2 linked regions of the Drosophila melanogaster genome follow. Each later gene encodes a partner of the first gene's protein in a complex. Each region holds a gene or a part of one and is shown on either strand. Other genes may lie near its edges. The genes, in order: dgt4 and dgt2.

What was found.
Region 2: dgt4 (region 1) and dgt2 share a complex: the UniProt entries of both Drosophila melanogaster proteins name them as parts of the augmin complex.

Annotation. Positions count from the first base shown.
Region 1 is NC_004354.4:4,111,701-4,115,637, forward strand, and holds dgt4 (dim gamma-tubulin 4), read left to right. Parts: upstream 1-2,000; 5' UTR 2,001-2,235; intron 2,236-2,363; 5' UTR 2,364-2,527; coding exon 2,528-3,094; 3' UTR 3,095-3,228; downstream 3,229-3,937. Other genes in the region: Nsun2 (NOP2-Sun domain family, member 2), read right to left, coding at 1-1,767, 1,845-1,904; Tip60 (Tat interactive protein 60kDa), read right to left, coding at 3,229-3,229, 3,302-3,514, 3,620-3,937. UniProt on the Drosophila melanogaster protein: As part of the augmin complex, plays a role in centrosome-independent generation of spindle microtubules. The complex is required for mitotic spindle assembly through its involvement in localizing gamma-tubulin to spindle microtubules.
Region 2 is NT_033779.5:11,988,143-11,991,595, forward strand, and holds dgt2 (dim gamma-tubulin 2), read left to right. Parts: upstream 1-1,793; 5' UTR 1,794-1,881; coding exon 1,882-2,113; intron 2,114-2,170; coding exon 2,171-2,634; 3' UTR 2,635-2,830; downstream 2,831-3,453. Other genes in the region: CG34163 (uncharacterized protein), read left to right, coding at 176-187, 242-493; zuc (zucchini), read right to left, coding at 921-1,682; escl, read left to right, coding at 2,831-3,129, 3,188-3,377, 3,433-3,453. UniProt on the Drosophila melanogaster protein: As part of the augmin complex, plays a role in centrosome-independent generation of spindle microtubules.

The sequences.
Region 1 (3,937 bases):
CGTGGGATCAGTGCAATTGAGCATCATTACCAGGTCCTCCCGCTCCACCTGGATTCTCCTGCTGGCGCCCATGAAGGCATTGGAGGTCTGGAGGCCCTCCTGGGCCAATCGGAAGGGATGCACCGTATGCCGGTTCTCGCAGCGCACGAATGTCTTAACGCCCGTGTTGATGATCTTAATGTTGTTTTCGTTGTTAAGCACCAAATCGCGGATGGGTTCAGAGCAGTAATAGATGTTCTTCTTTTTCTCCGTGACACAGCGAGTTAAGAGACATCGTTGACTAAGGGATTCGTCCAGCTGGTAGAACTCCTTGATCGCCTGGTAGTCAGGATCATTCTCGCCGAAGAAGACATAAGGATCTTCCTTGTAGCCATGCAGACGTCGCTTCTTTCGCTGCGGTCCCCACGGAACGGACTTCTCCTCGATGGGCTTGCCATCCGCGTCCACTTGCGGCTCAGCTGCAGGCTGCTTGGCCGTCTCGTTCAGCTTTACCAGCTCCACCACATCGTTCTTTTCGAAGCTTAGCTGACGACGCTTCTCCAACACGGCTACAAAGAAGCCGCCGCTGTCCTGGAGATGCGGCAATACGCGGAGGCACTTCTCCAACCCGATCTTGGCCATCTCGTCGGCCGGCAGAGGGAACATACCGGGCCGTATTATAGTGTGCAGGCTTTCAGGCACTTCCTCAAAGCGGGTAAAGATCTGGTCCACCTCCTTGGTGGCCAGCTTCCAGTCGGTCATGCCGGGCTTGTACTTAAGACCTGGCACCAAGTGCCCCGCATCCACCAGCTCCAATGCACCGTCGGCATCCTTTATGATCCGCTGCAGCACCGCCTCGTTCTCGATGGGATTCAGTGAGCAGGTGGAGTACACCAGCCTTCCGCCAACCTCCAGCATCTCAGCGCCACGACGTACGATGCGGTATTGAATGCCGTGGAGGTTGTAGGCCTGTGCCAGGTTCCACTTCAGCCAAATGTCTGGATTCTTGCGCAGTGTGCCGTCGCCGGAGCAAGGTACATCGCACAAGATCTTATCGAACTTAAGGATCGCCTTTGAGCCGTCCGGCTTCGTGGTCACGAGATTGGGAAAGACACTGCTGTCGTGGTTGGTCACCAACAGGCAGGGCGAGTTTAGACGCTTGGCTTGGTGAACCAGCATGTAGCACCGATTGTTGTCTACATCGTTGGCCAGCACAAAGCCGGGCGGAATCTTGTGCTCCTCGGGAGCAGCGTGCAGAGCCTCAATGAGCTGGGCTGTCTTCGAACCTGGCGCAGCACACATGTCCAAAACTTTGTCCGTGGGTCGGACATCCAGGACAATTGGCGGGATCATGGATACGGCCTCCTGCCTGCTGATGCCGCCCGCCGTGGTCTCCACAATTAGGAAGTTGTGCAGCCGGTAGAGCGGCTCCGAGCGTCGAATGTCCTTGCGGGTAAGGTGCAGCTGGTAGGCCAGTCCGTTTGGATACCACGGCAGGCACAGCGGACGTTCCACATCCTCGGGCGCCTTCTGGTGCAGCTCGGCCACCGCCCTCACATACTCGGTGAATAGCTGCGTCTCAATAATGGATAGCAGGGCTTTGGCCTCGTCCTTGAATCCTGTCACACGGAAAGTAGTGGGCAGATTGTCCCTGATGGAAGCAAGGAACTGCGTCCACTCCTCATCGGTGGCGCAGATCTTCTGCAGTTGGTAGTACTTGATGAAGAAGGCATTATCCCTTTTGATCTCCTCATACGGCTGGGCCTGACGATCGGTGCGCTTGGGACCCTTTAAGATAAAAAATATATTTAAGAATAAAATCCAAAAACGTGGAATGTTTCTCCTTTCAAATTGAGGTGACTCACATTCTCCCGCTTTTGACGTTTGCGAGCCGCGAAAAAATTTTGCTTCTGGTTTCGACCCATTTGTCAATATCAATACCAAGTTATCAGTCCACTGAATATGTTTAAAAAAAATTAGGCAAGCGTTGTGTGTTTTCTAAACGAAACGAATAGTTAAAACGTGTTCGTCGCCTAACTGGCAACGCTGTCGCGCGAGAGTCGCCGGACATTTGGTGCTTGGAAGGGAAGGTGAAATATGCTGCTAAAGAAGTGAAATTGAATTGAAAGGGAATTACTTTTTACAGTACTTGGTTTCCGTGCTGCAAGGAATTGACTTGTTTTTAAACGTTAACTTCATTTGCATGGCTTACATTTTTAGCCCCAAAATCAATAAGAGCTGGTTTCCCAACTATCGGTAAGCAAAATCAAACAACTTATTTCAGTTTTCTAGAAACTTTAAAAACCTGTTAGTTTATGTAAGGAAACCTACATATCTTGTTGTTATTTACATTTTCGAATTATTTTCATTTTTTTTTTATATAGTTATTAATAGCCAAATTTGACTCGAACATAGCTACGCGCCTATCGTTACAAAAATCTCCGTTAGCCGACTTCAAATGCTACCGATAGCAGCTGCGAAAGCGATAGCGTCGGCAATCGAATCCGAATTTCCCACTTTAAAAACTAAGAAGTTTTTGTAAGCCACTATGGAAACTCCACCCACTCCCACCACGACCACACCGCCATCATTGACAACTGAGGGCACCATGGACGACATCCAATACCTGCTGCACCTGGAGGCGATGCGCCGTTTTCAGGAAGACAGCCGCAATGTAAAGCGCCAGGTGGAGGAGCAAGTACGCATTTGGCTGGACGCCAAGTGTGAGTATCAGCGGGACTTTGGGCGGCTGGCGAGGCTCCTGAAGTGCGGAGCCCTGCAGGCGGCCGTGGATGCCCATCGTGTATCTGATGTGAATCAAGTCGACCAGGCGGCCAAGGATATCGCTAGTTTGCGATCCAAACTGGGCAGTGATCTGCGTCCCGCCATTCTGGACTCCAACGATGTGAAGCAGTGCCTGGAACATCTGAACACCACCCACAAACCGCGCCTAAATCTATGCCGGCAACAACGGGAGTTCGCCCAGAACCAAGAAGCTCTAAGAAGTTTGCGTACCGCCGTCGATGGATTGGAGAATGGTATGGAGATGGGCATGATACAGGCAATGGACCGCCTTGTGGAGGATCTTCTCCCACCGCGGGAAACAAACAACTAGCCGGTCGTCTCAAAAGTATATATAATATTGTATGATATAAACTAGTTTATAACATTAAAAACGGAAACTGTAAATGAAAACTACAAGCTACAACGAAGCCAGGATCATCCGATGAAGAATATTGGTAGCGGAAATCTAAAAACAAAAAAAAACGGATTCAAAGCTGTTTAAACTCAGTTATTTATACGGAGAAGATGAGGAGATTACCATTTGGAGCGCTTGGACCAGTCTTTGGGTGTCCAGTGCAGGCATTTCGAGTCGATGCGGATCTTGCGCTTGTCCATTGCTCGCCGGTGTTGCTCGATGATAACCCGGTTGATGCACACGATGTACTGGCCCTTGTAGTAGTTGATCAGGTTCAGGTTCTGCAGCGTTGAGATCACGTCCTCTTTTTTGATGGATGTGCATTCGCAGATGTCGCTGTGAAGAAAAATTTTGGGAGCATGATTAATCTATGTTTCGGCAATGAAGCACAATCTCTGTGGATTGAAAATTGTATTACTTTAAGCTTAGAACTAGCCATACTTTATAGTTATAGTGGGCTTTTCGCCGTCCGTGCTCGGGTTTTGGCTGATAAAGATCTCCAGTATGGTTTGCGCCCAGTACGATCGATAGGACAGCAAACCCAGATCAGACAATGGTTTCTCCGGCGATCCCGTCTTGCCCTCGAACTTGGACAACTCGTAGCTGAACTCAATGAGCAGCTTGCCGTAGCCCTTGCGCTGATACGGAGGCATTGTGAGAATGCAGGCCACGTTGTAGTCCTCTGTGCTCTCCTTCTCCTTGGAGAAGTACCCTACTATGTGGAAGCCGCGCGAGTCGAACTCTGTCATTACGTAGAAG
Region 2 (3,453 bases), on another chromosome or scaffold:
TAGTACTTCGGAACTTTTTATTTGTTAAAAGGACCTTTTTATTTAGAATTCGTTTTGTTAAAATTACCTTTTTGAATGACTAAACTTACACCGCCTACTCTTCTTCTTATTTTTTGTTTTGCCATTCACCACGAACTTAATAACAACTTAACACGCGGAGATCTCCACATAAACAATGGAAATTAAAGTACGTAAACAAATTATTTGCGACCTAAAACTTATTTCATTTTGATCCCCGTAGAAGTCCAAGAAATCAAAGAACGACAAGAAGTCCAAGGCGCCCAAGGAGTCGTCCGTTTCGCTCAAACTGAACGCTTTGCATCGCAAGCAAAAGGAAGTCGCCCGCGTGCTCACTTTAAAACAAGAAATATTACTGAAATCGGGTGTATCCTATCTGGAATATTATGAGATTCTGGCAGAAATCGAACGACTCAACGGCCTAAAGGAGTCATTTATGCGCCGCGCTGATAAGCTGAAGCAACAGGACAAATAGTTGATAAGTTGGTTTGGTTTAGAAACTATATAAGAGTAAAGAAATCTGTAGCAGTTATATTTCGGAATGTTTTGTACATACATACATGTAATCTTTTTTGTAATTAACTTTTATTTACTTAAAAGCTTTCAATAACATGATGAATAAAGTAGAAAGTTATATATATAGTCAAAGCTGATCATAACTAAATGCACGTTGAAAATTAGTCAACTCAATCGAAGTGATAAAGATTTCATACGGATTATACTGTTAGGTATACATTTTGATTACTTTTGTTTTGCTTAATTAATTTGGCACTCCTTTGTGTGTGAAGATCAAGCTGCCTTAAAAAGTTTTAGTTTAATTGAAGGCACTTAGAAAATAAGAACTATAATTATTTGGCATACTGAGGAACTGTTTGGTAGTCATACATTAAATCAATTGATTTCTACTTGAGCTGGATTTGGCTCCCCTCGGTCTTCGCAAAAGCCCGCCACATTCGTTGGAATTCCGCCTGAAACGTGGCTGTGAGTTTGTCGTCAGCTGTGATAATGCAGTTCTCCCAATTGCCTCCCAGTCCAAGAGCCGTCCAGTTTACGGAGCCGCTGATCACGATGCTATAGCACGGACGCATAAACTTGAGCTTCCTCAGCAGACGAATCTCCTCGACGCGCTCGAAGCCGTCGATTATGCAGAATTTGTTGTGCATCAAGTTCGTGGTAATGGGGACGCGAACTGGAACTCCCAATTGTGCCAGCATACTGATCTGAGAACCTTTGGAGTAGACCATCTCCCCGTCGCTGATGATCCGGATAATCACGCCGCGCTGCAGGGCCCGCTTTATTGAATCCGCCAAAAAAAGCGAGGTGAAGGTGTATATGGCCAGGTCAATGGAGTATACAGCCCGATCGATCTGCTCTACGATCTTGGCCACATTCCGCAGCGAACAATGCGTGTTGCAGCAGGGCGACACTTGTGGTTTCTGGGATCCCATGCTGCTGTTGCGCATATGCACCGCCGCACAGATCTCGCCCAGTTCATTGAAGATGATCACTTCGTGCACGCGGCTTGCCTTCTCTCGCTTGCTGCGCGAGCACTGCACCAGCTTCCAAATCACCTCTGAGGCCAGGACAGTGCTGACGGCAATGCTTATTGTGGACACAATGGGATAGTCTCGAATTTGTTTCATAATTATTTGGGTAATCAACATTTTTGAATTTAGCTCGTTTCTCTAGCGCGCTTTAAATAATAATCTTGGGGTGACCATTATAAAATATAAGTAAAATATATTATCGTTAGTAGCTACCGGTCACACTGTTGCTCAGTAGCGTTGCCGTATCGCAGCCATGCGCTTGCCCATTCGAATCAAACAATCAATTTCGGGTCAATTTAAGCATTTTACCACCTAAATGGATGATCCATCCGCCACGCTCTTGCCCGAACACTCGGAAGATTTGCGGCTGGCTCGCGATGCGGAGCTGAAGAAGGTGCTCAAGCTGAAGCTAGTGCTGGACGAGCTAAGACGCCTGGATGTGGGCCCAAATCCGAGTGATGAAATCAAAAGAGCCCTCAAATTGGTTTCCATTGGAAGTTATGCGCGACTCGGCGAGATGGAGGGAGCTGGTCAGGAGCAGGTGCTTGGTAGGCGCGTTACAAGTTTATTCCAAAAGCAGTGAATAACCATTGGAAATCTAACAGGTCTACCGAGCGGCAGCAGTTTTCCGCCCTTGAATTACACGGATCGCAAGACGGTGCGTACCAAATTGTCCGCTCAATTACGCACAACTCTGCAACCCATTGCCGAATTGTGCGACAGGATACGCGAGGAGTTCCCGGACGCCTTTGGCCAGGAGGCGGACTTAAGCTGCGACCAAAAGGAGATTCTGCGCCTGGAGGAGGAGCATCGCAGCGGTCTGGAGAAATTGGTTGCGCTTCTCACTCGTAAGTGCACGCTTCTCAAGGAGACCGCCGAATTGAAATTGGGGCCGCAGTTGGCAAACGAACTAAAATTGCAACAGGCGCAGGCGCAACTTGTTCAAACAAAAGCAGAACTACTGCGCGGATTTTTCGTCCACGAGGCCGCCTCTCGCACCGAACATAGCGTCAAGGCACATAAGGAGGTGGAGGCGCACCTGGACGAGCTGCTCGCCGCCAAGAAGTAGATTTAAGCAAACTAGTATTATGTAAATTAGATTTTTAAATACATTATAATTGTGATTTAAACAGGGTTGTTCGTTTAGGTCTTTTCGCTCTAGAATGGCAACACTGTTTTGCACTGCAGTATTTGCAGACGGTCACTCTAGGGATAAACAATTTGTAAACAAAAGAAGCTTTTAAGTTTGCCGGAATAAAACAGATATGACCGAAACGAATCCCAGTGAAATATCTCCTCCGAGCGAAGAGCCACCGGCAGAGGACGAATCCACTGACCACTCTCCAGCGGAGGCAGTGCTGAGCAATAATTCCTCGAGTGTCTGCAATGTTGTGGAGCCGGATGATGAGCACGAAGTTAATTCCGTGGATCGGGAGGACACCGCCAGTTTGTTCAGCACTACTACGACCACCACCAGAAGCAAATCGCCAAATACACGAAAATTGAACCGCCTGTGTCGGCGGATCAAGGCACCCAAAATGGTTCAGCCCTTGTACAAATATAGGTGTGATTTTTCCAGGCAGAACATAAGTCATAATGTTTATATCCCGGATGCATTGCAGCTCCCATGTCCGCGAGGACCACAACCATCAGATCTTCGGAGTGCAGTTCAATCCGTTCCTGGACAGAGGCCAGCCGCAGGTGTTCGCCACCGTTGGCAAGGATCGGGTTTCCATTTATGAGTGCGAGAGGAGCACCGGACAGGAGTCCTGCGAAGGCATTCGACTGCTGCAAGTCTACGCAGACCCAGATGTAAGTACTCATCATATGCTATTACTTACATACATCATCGTTACGCCCTCGTTAGACCGATGAAAGTTTCTACACA